Coturnix japonica: one gene and its partners. The protein of the gene in region 2 interacts with the protein of the main gene of each other region in a pairwise test. Links are inferred from orthologs where the notes say so. Each region holds a gene or a part of one and is shown on either strand. Other genes may lie near its edges.

Region 1 (3,648 bases), on a different chromosome or scaffold from region 2:
TTCCCATTTTCTGTGTGTGTCCAGAACAAAGAAATTTCATTTTTGCCAAGCCAATTACATCCTTCAGCAGTTTCTTTTACTGATAAAGAATGCCCTTTGTACCTTCCCCTCCCTACCCCCCTAGACCTGATCCAGGCTGGCAAGAAAGAAACACAGTGTATTTACCTTGGAATCAGAAAAAACATATTCCTTCCGCTGTGTTTTTTCTTTTTCTGTTTCCAGCACGATGACCAATTTGGTCGGGACCTTCTGAGACTTGATAAGCTGCAAGACTAAACAGAGACTGGGTGGCATGAGCTGTGATCGCTGAAGCTAGAATCCCACCAAAACTAAGACTCAGACCCAGACTTGGGACTTACATGGTCTTTTATGTGTAGGGCTGACTTTGTCCTGCCTAACTCCACTTTAATGTTGCTTAACCCTATTCCCTATAGGAACAGACCTTGCCCTTGAAGCAGAGGCACCAGATTCCTCCTGCCTGGAGCTCTCATCCATACTGAGCCCTGTAGATCTGATGTGATGCCTTGCCTTCCTGCAGACAATCTCTCTTCCTACTTATATTCTTTCTCCATCTGGCAATGAGGAGGTAGAATCCCATCTGATGGTAAAGGTGAATAATCCCCATCTAAAATAGCAACTAGGTAATTATGAACACGAGCTAGAGAAAACCGCACATGAAAGCTAATCTTTTCAGTCACTGCCAGCAACAGAGAGATTTTATACAGAGGAGAGAGCCCAAGGGCATAGTTTTCTGTTTGATAAATCCTACTGGTTTTGGCAATGCCGTTCAGGGAAGAGTGGGGTATGACGAAAAAAAATCAATAGGAATCTTCAAAGAGCTGTCTGCCTAGAAACATCAGAGGCAAAGGGAAGTTGTTTGACTTGGGCCTTCACAGGCCAAACTCGTATTGCTCATTGGTAAAGTTATTGATTCATATATAAAAACAACAATCAAGGGAAGCGTCACTGTGCTGTGGTACTGAGACTGAGTATCTGGCTTTCTACCATCAAAAATCATCACAGGAGTCAACACATTCATACAGCGTGTTTCTTTTCAGCAATACTGCTTTTTGGTAGAAAACTGTTCTATCACAACCAGCTCTACGGGTAATCAATAGCCCATCAAAACCTGCTCTTGCTGTCTTCTTTTGGACCAGGAGGCCAGGCAGATTGCCCTTAAAAACAGTCTGTGAAAGCTGGTTAAGCCAGTATTGAGTCCCTGCTGTCTGCAGGATGGGCAGCCTGGTGTGCCTGGGGCTCACACAGCACCCAGGGCCAGGCAGACATTCCTATCTTCTCACCCATCCTCCATCATCCATGGGACCGAGCATCTGGTCCCACATTTGTGACCTTAAGTATCTTACTTTTCTTATGAGTATAAAATTTGTCTTCTGGGCCATCCTTAGCTCTCTTGATAATCAGTTTTCCCATTTCCACGTCAACCTTGAGATGTATTTTTGAGAAAATTCCCAGAGAATCGGCTTTCACCTATCAGAAAACAGAGATATCTGTCAAAAGCAATGCTGTGCACTCCAGTCACATGTATTACAAAATGCTACATTTGCCTGAATTCATAGACAAGCACATCATTATGCCAATCCCACCTGTTATCTCTTAAGCATTCACATGGCACAAATAGGAATATCTGCGTTATCTCTGAAGCAGCATGGTACAGAACTGAGAGACTGATATAAATCCACATGATTGCCTCTCTGCCTTCTGGTCAGCATTGTTAAAGAATGTTTACCTCAAAAGTCACAGGGGGGATGAGGGAACGGCGGTGTGTTGAATCAGGACCTTCGATCAACAGTGTTTTCACCTGGAAAAGAACCTGTGTGTACTGAGTTGTGCACTACCCCGAGAGTAAGAAACTCAGCAGAGGAATCTTACTGTGGCAGAGGATGGCACTGATGATGAGCCAGAGACACATAGGACATGTAAATAGAGGCAACAGATGACATGAAAATAGTGTAAAATAGCTCTGAAAACTCTTACCTTTTCCTCAATGGAAGACAGCAATGAGATCAGCTGATTGAGTTTCAGTACAATATTGACTGGACTGGCTTCACCAAGCATCTGATAACCACAACACAGAAACAAAAAGAGAGGGATGTATAATTACCAAACCCACAGAGCATCACCTGGAAGACTCTCATCTGTAATGAGCAGCATGAAAGCAGTGCATTTGGCTGAACATCCAGATGTATGGCAGGACTGAAGGGCAAATCTGCAAACCTAATCTATAGGCTACAAGTATGGAAATGCAAGGGAGTCAGCTGGGAGACTGGTTTGCATGACCAGGTGCAGGGCTCAGTCCTGGACTTCTGTATTTCTGGGCCACTGGTGAGGAGAGCAGAGTCACAGGACTTAGGTGGGGTTTGGGTATGATTGATCTGGCAGTCAAACACCGTGGAGTGCAGTGTATGGAAAGATAAAGGTGCAGTCATAGCCCACAGACTGAGGGAGGATATGGGGACAGAAGTCCTCAGGCAGTTAGCTGCATTTTCCTCTGGGGCAGGAAGGTAGAGGAGACTATGGAGTAAAGCGAAACTGTGGGGTGTAACTCACTGTGTGCCCTCTGCATTGCAGCCATCATGAGGCTACAGATAACACAGGCTGTAACTCATCACCTGCAACCCACCAAAGCGTTGCTGGGAAATCAGAGCCCTCCCTTTCCCTGTGGGGCAAATGCCTGTACGCCTCTGTTCTCATCTCCCAGCTTCCAGCCAGCTTACCTGTGAGCGCTGATGGATGCCAGGGTGCAGCTGCTGCTCAAACACCTTCTGGATGGACTCCAGAGATGGGAGGGTCCGCGAGGCTTCACTGGGAACAGAGAGGTGGCAGAGGCCAAAGGCTGCGGTCAGGTCTCCAGCTCAGTTAGCACCAGCTTCTTTGCACAGAACAGCACAGGCACACACACGCTCACACCAGGGCTGCTCTCAGCAGCTGCCAGACTCCTGTCCCCCCAGCTCACTGCCTGCTCCACCGGTGGGATGGGTGATGAGTGCCTTTCTCAGCTGCCCCAGTGATACTGCCCATAAAGGCCAATTGGACTGAGGCATTCAACTCTGCCTTGCCATAGCAGGGTGTGGGCCATTCCTCTGGTTTAACTGCAGAGATAGAAACTTCTCACATCTCTGTGGGAAGATGTCCCAGTCTGGGCCAAACCAGAGGACAACCAGCATCCTACACAAGAACATCAAATGATATTTCCACTCCAAAACCCCAAAGCCCAGCACAGTTTGGAGCCCATGGATGTCCCAGCAGTAGAAGCTTGGTGTAGCAGGGTCCTTGCAGAGGACACTGGCAAAGAGGAAACTAATTTTTTTCATATTTTTCAGCTCACGTGACACAGAGAGGCCGGGCACAGGAACCTCTCATGGGTTACAGTGAGATTCCTCCAGCATTTCCCAGCTGCATCCCACAGGATGCTCGTTTGACAAAGTGCTGTTGTATGAACTTGGCACAGGAGCTGCGGTCCGATCGTGACAAGACTTATCACGGAAAGAGCACGCAGGGAGTGCAGGTCAAAAGGAAGGGGATGGTGGGAGCAGTGCTGGGATGCCTTCACCAGGCCCAGTCAACTGTGGATATTAATGATTTCCCTCACTTTCCTAAGTCTGCATAGACCGGATTTTACTCCGTGTT
Region 2 (3,648 bases):
GAAAGTTACTGTGTTTGGATTTTCTTTTTCTTTAATGTTTTTAGTTTTTTAATTTTTTATTTTTTTAAAGAAATTATTGAAACTAGTTTGAGTGTTTTCATTGCAGTTACACCCTTGTAATCATAAAGTCAAAAGTCTGTGTAGAAAGGGAATTCTGTGACAGCTCTGGTACAACCTCCTGATGACCTTGTGAACGTTCTCAGCATGGCAGAATTCTATTCCTTTGGGCAACCTGTTTCCAATCTGTTTTCCTTGACAGTATATAAAAAAAACCTGTAAGCAATAAAATGAGGCATCACAGTAGAGTTAAAGTGTCACATTAGTATTTTTTGAGATTTGATCTGCTAGTTTCAGAAAAGGCTAGTTCATGAAAGGCCTTATTCAATAGCTTGTGTGGACCAGTCATCCATAGCCATACATTCAGTCGTATCTTGTTTCTAAGTCAGGAATTGACCTTGCATGTACTAAAGAGAGAAGAATTAAGTTTTCATTTTTAATAGGCTTTTTTTATTGCTTGCATTTCTTTTTTGTCTCAGATTGAAGTAGGTGAACTGGAGCTGTAGACTTTCTTCATTGTAGGAGAACCTGAGCTGGACTTCTTTTTCCATCAGCACTTCCATTGTAGCAACAATAGAGTTTGTTAGAGCTGCTACTGCCCCATTGTCAACTGCTATTGGATTCGTCTAGCCCAGCAGGGAGATCAAATGAGCCCTCTAATGATAGGGGGCTCTAATGAGCTCTCCATTGTGGCCCTCTAATCATGCAGTACTAGAGGAAGAGACAAGTGAAGAACAGTTGCATGAATGAGGCCAGAAAAACAAGTAGTCCAAAGGTATTTGTTTTATAGTGTTGTTGTTTATCACTTATGCCTAAAATTCTGTTACCGTAAATGGGTTGCCTTAGACTGTAACAGTTTATGGATATCATGGTTTTATAAAGCTTTGCAGGGTATAGTAAATATACCTGAACAGTAATCTCCAAATTTATGTATTATTTACAATAGAATGAATTAATGCTTTTGGTATGTGCTGTTCCATACAAATTTCAAAGTGTATCTCATGTTTACAGGCCCATTTTAGTATGAAAATAAATATATAAATAGTGTCTGTTTACTTAAAATTATCCTTAAAATCTTCTCTAACCATCCTTCAGATTTCATGTAACTTCCAAAATGCAACATGTAGATGTACAAAAGTGACCTATTGAATTTACGTACCTTTTCTCTCAGTAGGCATCTGGGAATATATGTGCTGTGCAGATTTCTCATGCCACCTGGCTCCATTGAACCCAATTTTGTATACTTAAATAAAAGCAGACATTTTCTTTTTTATTATTTCTCTGCTCTAGGTGGGTTGTAGAATTTGTGTTTTTGACTTATCTTCCCTCTGAATCACATTCTGGGCTGATAGAGCACCAGGTATTCACAGTAGCCTGTTTTTATGCTTTGTGTTTGAGTTTTAACCGAGTAATATTGTTCCTTTGTATTTGTAGTGCATCACTACCTTCTCCTTAGTTACTTTAATAGTGTTTTGCCCTGGCTATGAACTGCAGCTGGTTTTGGTAAACTTCAGTGATAATAGAGGTTAGGAAACAGTTGAGAATGCCTTAAAGAATGTTCGTTTTGTTTTGAGACAGAAAACACAAGCATATAAATTTTGGATTTAATTCCCTGTTTGTTTCTGTGTTTTAGTGTAGGGTATATTATATGAGAGGCTATATTACTTCATAAATCTTACAGGCAGCATAAGGCAATTCAGATTTTTTCATTTTCAAAACTTTTTTTGGGTGCTACTGCATCTGTGAGGGATTGCTGCCAGCTTTGTTTTTATGGTTATATACCTGATAACAACTGTTGAAAAACTGAATTGCAGTTTGAGCACATCTGGTCTCAGCCTTGAATGTGTCATTTATCTATGCTGTTTGAAAGTTCTTTGAGTTCAGATACTTCTAGGTTTCAGTTGGCATCTGGTTTTCCCTAACATGCTGTTAACTGTCCTATACGTTTCTACTTAGTGACTGTCATTTATGATTAAGCACTTGCTGCTTTTTTGCACCCAGAACAAAAAGTTGTTTCAGCAAATTTTGCATGTTTCTGTGCTTAGAAATTGAGTGGTCATAATATCTTTTTGTTTTCTTACAGTTTAACTTTGTGGGAAAGCTTTTGGGTCCACGTGGCAATTCTTTAAAGCGCTTGCAGGAAGAAACGCTGACAAAGATGTCTATTTTGGGAAAAGGTTCTATGAGGGATAAGACAAAGGTAAGAGTTGATTATTTCAGTTGAGTGTTTAAGATACCTGAATTTCTTCCTAAAATTGTTGGAGAGACGAGCAAATCCTGTGACAAAAAAAATAAATTCAGGGAGGAAATAAAAAACATCAAATATACTTGTACTACTTGGACTCAGATGGAGTCTGTTGTCTGTAAGGAGCCTATTGTCACATTTGGCATTGAGGCTACTACAAGCTGCATGTATATTCCCAAAACAAGAGTTCCTGGGAAAGTAACTGGCATTAGCAGTGGCTCATTATAGATCAGTCTAATAGTGCTTGTAATGTATAGTGTCCACATCACAGTGTTTCCACCTTAGAAAGACTTCTGGATAATGTCAAAGAGTTTTCACAGAAAAAAACACTTATGTTTAATAACACTTGTTTTTATATGCAAAGAATAACAGGTGACGAAAGCAAATGAAGTACAAGAAGGAAAAAAAAAAACTAACAGCCCTGATTTAGGATGCTGGGTACAGGTTAAGCCAACATGCAATTGCAGTTGTTTTAATAGAGGATGTTTGGTTATCATGACAGTATCCATTACATGAAGCCCAAGCAGACATCAGAAATCTGTAGCTTAACATATATATGCATTTTTTGTGTTGTGATGTATTTGTTTGGGTGGTGAGACACTGAACAGGTTGTCCAGAGAGGTTGTGGATGGCCCATCCCTGAAGGCATTCAAGGCCAGGCTGGATGGGGCCGTGAGCAACCAGGACTAGTGGGAGGTGTCCCTGCCTACAAGAGGGGGATTGGAAGTAGGTGGTCTTAAAGGTCCCCCAAACCATTCTATGATCGTGTGATTCTAAGATTCTATAATCTGGCTCAAGCTTTAGCACACAAAGGCAATGTAAATCAGTAAGAAGACAATCACATCACCTGCCTAGTGAATTGCACGTTTTCACTGTTACAAATGAAAATAGTACTTGTCAATAGTATGCCATGATTTACTGGCCACCTTCTCTGGCTTATAATGTTCCCAAAAATATAAAACCACTCTGTGCTTTTCCTCCTGTATGAGAAAGAACAACAGTCTGCACTGAAGTTGAGCTTAGAATTTAATTACTGATTAACAACTTACTTATTAGGCTGGCAAGTTCTGAGATGTGACTAATGCATGTATTTCCTAGAAAATCATAGAATTCTAATTGAAACTTTAATGTGATGTTTAACAAAAAAAGCAATTACATCATTCTGTATGATATAATTCTTAAAATGTGGACAGAAGCTTTGTTTCATCCTGCAGATAGACTACACATCCTTTTCTATCTGACAGTAATGCAGGTACCAAAACAAGCAATTTAGTCATTGCTGTCTAAGCAGTGCTCAAAGCGGTAGGAAGGGACCTTTACATATCTAGTTCCTACCCTATTGGAAC
Region 3 (4,298 bases), on a different chromosome or scaffold from region 2:
TTATGGAGCTGTTGTCACAGCATAAGCTGCACCAATTCAAAGGAACAGAACATCTTCCAGTGCACAAGGACTGGAAGTCAGCAAAACAATGCTGCACATGGAGAGGAAGATTCATGTCGTTGTAACTCTTTGTTTGTTATTGAAGTGCCACATGAATTAGAAGCTTGAAAAGCTTTACGTTTCTGTTCTTTTTGGCATCATCTCCTTGGAACCAGCGCATCTCCATAGTGAAGCTTAGGAAGGGAAGTGGTACTTGAATGGGTAGTCCCAGACTGGTGTCTTTTAATTTCACTTGCAATCAAGTGATGGAGAGACAGATGCTGCAGCTGCATGATTACAGAAAATGCAGCTGTTAAGACACTTGCCTCATTAGCAGGCAAAGAAGCAGCAGCTCTCTGAAGACTTGGGAGCGCTTTTACTACAGCACAAAATTAGACCAGTGCATTTCTGTTTGAATTTCCTCTGTCCGATGTGGTCTGCAGCTCTCAGTATAATTCCTTCAAACTGATCCAGTTTGAGGAAGGGGGGATAGCGACTTCATCTATGAGAATGCTCAGTGGGTTTGGAATGCTGAGGGTTAGGCCAAGCTGCCTTGTCAAAGTCATTCCACTTCTTAAGTAAGCTGTCAGTGTTTCCTCACCTCCCATTTGTTGCACGCAGGAGATGGGTGGTTCTGCCGTAAGTATTTTCATTTTCAGTTCTTCAGATTATGTTGGGATTTCTTTTCTGGGAATAGTTAGTTTTTCCTCCTTGCTTTGTGAAGCCCTACAAAGGTGACCAGAGGAGCCCTGACGCTTCCTTCCCAGCTGAAAGCGAGTAGCTGGTCTTGGTGAGCTCTGTGTGACTGATTTCTAAAGCATCATAGGCTACTGAAGTTTCAAGCAGCATTTGGAAGCTCTGCTTGTGTGTTATGCTGGGGAAAGAGGAGTTAATGGACTCCAGGTAAGGGGAGCAAGCTGGTAAGACTGCTTGGTGCCTATTTCTGAATGCATGCTCATAACTAAATCAGCACTTAATTCATGTTGTTTGTCTTCTTGCCTGTCTCTGTATACAGCATCCAAAACTTGTAGTGGCATCACTGCAGCGCTCCAGCAGAAAGCTCATAGTGGCTCTTTCTGTACCTGTATATGAACACAGGGAGATGAGAAATGCAGCAGATCCTCAGGGCTGAGAGTGCTTTCAGAGAAAAGTCGAGAGTCTTTCTCTGTAAGAGATGTTAAGGATCACATCTAACATCTAAAATGCTGCAGTTGGCTTCTGGGAGGGGGGCTGGGGGGGGAATGAGGTGTGTGTGTGTGGGGGGGGAGGGAGATGTATGAAGCCAATACAGCACAAATTCTCAGATGTTTAGTTCTTCCTTTGCAGAGAAGTGCTTTATAGTGTTCTAGCAGCTGAGCTCTGAGAGAGGGGGAGAACCTGAAGACCAGGCAACAAGGAGATCCATGCAGACATATCCTCATTTTACTGACAAGTAATTAATAAAAGCCTGTGATTGCTTGATTAGTCTTGTGTCAAAAGCTCATGCAACTGAGACTCTCTAAAATGAACTGTGTTGAATCTTGGTGCTTTTCCCCCTTTGGTGTGATTTTGACTATCTCTAATGTCATCTTTGCAAGTTCAGCTCGATTGTTTTGCTCCACGTTCCCAGCTGCAGTTGTCAGTGATGAAAGCTGTTGTGGAGTATTACCTGTAAATATGCCACAACATGCAAGACAATGATACCTGTGCTGCACCAGAATACGGATCTTGCCTCTGGGCTTTGGTGGTTTTATTGCAGTGGGAGGAAATGTATGTATTAAAAATCCACATTCATGTGGAGTACCGTAAAAGAAAGCATTCCTATGCTTATATTCCAGGAAAGGTACTTAAGCTATTGTTTGTCTTTACCCTCCCCATGGAGTCAAACAGGGAAGACTATCACTCTTGCTGTTGCTGTTAATGATTCTCCTCTTTGTTGGTGAAAAAATCCCCTTTCTTCAATCTGCCCCAGCCTTCTTTATATCTTTTGAGCATATCTGGTATGAACAAGGTTATATCTCAAGTACTCAGTTTTTAATAGGTCTCTTCCTCATTCAAGCACTGATGGGCTGTAAAACCCAGCATGTGATAGGTGAGTAGTGGTAGTCAGGAGGTAACTGCTGCTCACAGGATGTTGGTGAGAACTACAGGAGACAGAGGTAACTGATGCTGGTTTTTAAGACAAATCCTACTTGTTTCTTCTGGGTTTCTCCCATCTCAGCTGGAGGGCTCCATCTTTTGTTGGGGACAACAGAAAATAGGTTCAGAGGTGTAAAAGGAACCACAGGCCTGTATGGGAGATATTATCTTCCCTAGGGCATGGTTCTGTAGGATGCTTGGTCTACCACTGTCAGACCTTGGTTTGCATGCTTTAAATAGAAATTCTCATGCTAACTCCAAAGGTTGTGTGTGTTTAACGTGTCAGCTTGTGCAAGAATTAATCTGATTTTGAGGGAACTTGTCAGTCTGAATTGATAACCCTAATTTCCAGAACTGGTATTGCTGATCGGAACCAACATGGGTATATGCATAAACGTTTGCTCCCCACAGAGTGCTGCAGTTGAGGCACATAAGCTATAGGAGTTATCCCTTGTGTAATGGGACGTAAGGGTTCCATTACCTTGAGACACCTTGGAAAGAGTCTAATATCTGCAGAATAACGTGCAGGCCACGGTAGCTTTCAATTCCTAGTTTTCTTTTAGTTAATGCGTATGTAAGCAAGTCAGTTAAAGCACAGTGGGTCTATTTCAAATAGATAATCTAATTATCAGCTTGATTAAACCATATCAAATGAACGGTTCTTGTAATTTGGTAGCTTTGTTCTCTTCGCTACAGATGCAGTAGCTTTAATTAGCAGCCTCAGAAGTAGCAGACCTGTGCTGATTGCGTCAATTGAGAGGTGTTGCAGCTGGATACTTGATGTGGAGGGAATCAGACTGCTCCTATATCGGTGCTAATCCGTAGGCTGGCACTTTGTTGCCAATAACAGGAGTCTGACTGCTTCATAAATACCATTACATGCAAGAAATAGCCCTTTTCTGCTGTTTCCTCTGCTCAGACACAGGCTTAATTAAATTGATTTCTCTAGTCAATTAGGCTTTCTTTTTAAAACGTTTGTAGATATTGCCTACCGTATCCCTTCTTAGCTTTAAACTCACCTGTGAATGTGTGTTCTTTTGGACTGCAGCATCCCTCAGTTATCTGACATAAGCCAACCACAGGTCTCTTGCTGAAGCCAGCACCTGGCCAAACAAACTGCTGGGATGAAGCTGTTCCTTTGGCATTGCTTGCCAGCTTCTCCAAGCCCACTCAGCAGTAAGATGCTGCTCTTTGTATAGCCAGGAAGCCTAGGGCATGGTGAAAGGTGAGCAACCAACCTCTGCTACTGATACAGGATGAAAGCACTTGGGGCTTGTCTGCCTTTCTTTGGCATTGCTTTAGTGGGGATCTCACTTGGGCTGGGAGCTGGGTAAAGCTGGCTATATCCTGGTTTTCCTGGTTCCTGTGTCACCTCGCCTTTAATTGCTATCATGTTCTGTAGCTTAGTATTAACCCACGTCTCGCTGCATCCTGCCTCCTAATTGGCTTAACTGGCTGTCACCCAAAAAGGCTTGACCATGTATCGCAACAAGTTTCCCCAAGTATTTCCTAATTGACACTTGACGTGTTGTGAGGAGATGAGTCCCTCTTGTCTGTATTAATCAGCGTGTTTTCTTCTGCTTGTTCTCAGGACTGGACATTGATCCTATGACGCATGCCCGGAAGAAACAACTTTTCCTTCTGAAGCATCCAGCTGGTTCTGCTGGCCAGGTTTCATCACCCACAGGCAACAGGAGGATGGACAGGACACAGGCGGAGTGCGGCGAGCAAAGGGATGGGGATGCTGCTGAGGCTGCCAGCAGTTTGAGTGGGTTTGTGGGGACAAGCAAAAGCAAGAATTTGCAGGAAGTCCGAAAGACGTACCCGCTGCGGAGACGTCTGCACCCTTCAATGAACAAAAAGACCTGTAAAGTGCTTCTCACCAGGCTGGAAGATGTGGCTGGATCTCTGTCCAAAGAGACCCAGAGCTGCAAAAAAAAGGACCTTCCCAGCTGGGTGGAGGAGTTGGGGCCCACTTTTTTTGCTGAACAAGTTAAACCTGTGGGAGCGGGCAGGAGTGATTCAGCTGGGGAAAAGTGCACAGTAACTTATCCAGGGACAGAGGAAGACCTTGATGCTGCTCCTTCAGAGCCCAGGAAACGCAGGCTGGCCTCTCTGAATGCAGAGGCTGTGAACAATCT

The links.
Region 1: the proteins of KHDRBS3 (region 2) and INPP5D interact in binary tests that used the Homo sapiens proteins (3 or more experiments, as listed by UniProt). The two-hybrid records come from large-scale screens. The link is inferred for Coturnix japonica from reciprocal best matches to the Homo sapiens genes KHDRBS3 and INPP5D.
Region 3: the proteins of KHDRBS3 (region 2) and BAHD1 interact in binary tests that used the Homo sapiens proteins (3 or more experiments, as listed by UniProt). The two-hybrid records come from large-scale screens. The link is inferred for Coturnix japonica from reciprocal best matches to the Homo sapiens genes KHDRBS3 and BAHD1.

The regions. Positions count from the first base shown.
Region 1 is NC_029524.1:1,941,855-1,945,502, forward strand, and holds part of INPP5D (phosphatidylinositol 3,4,5-trisphosphate 5-phosphatase 1), read right to left. Parts: intron 2,824-3,648; coding exon 2,736-2,823; intron 2,077-2,735; coding exon 1,996-2,076; intron 1,820-1,995; coding exon 1,748-1,819; intron 1,489-1,747; coding exon 1,365-1,488; intron 273-1,364; coding exon 166-272; intron 1-165. UniProt on the Homo sapiens protein: Phosphatidylinositol (PtdIns) phosphatase that specifically hydrolyzes the 5-phosphate of phosphatidylinositol-3,4,5-trisphosphate (PtdIns(3,4,5)P3) to produce PtdIns(3,4)P2, thereby negatively regulating the PI3K (phosphoinositide 3-kinase) pathways.
Region 2 is NC_029517.1:129,023,691-129,027,338, forward strand, and holds part of KHDRBS3 (KH domain-containing, RNA-binding, signal transduction-associated protein 3), read left to right. Parts: intron 1-2,140; coding exon 2,141-2,257; intron 2,258-3,648. UniProt on the Homo sapiens protein: RNA-binding protein that plays a role in the regulation of alternative splicing and influences mRNA splice site selection and exon inclusion. Binds preferentially to the 5'-[AU]UAAA-3' motif in vitro.
Region 3 is NC_029520.1:867,638-871,935, forward strand, and holds the start of BAHD1 (bromo adjacent homology domain-containing 1 protein), read left to right. Parts: upstream 1-1,495; 5' UTR 1,496-3,372; coding exon 3,373-3,382; intron 3,383-3,748; coding exon 3,749-4,298.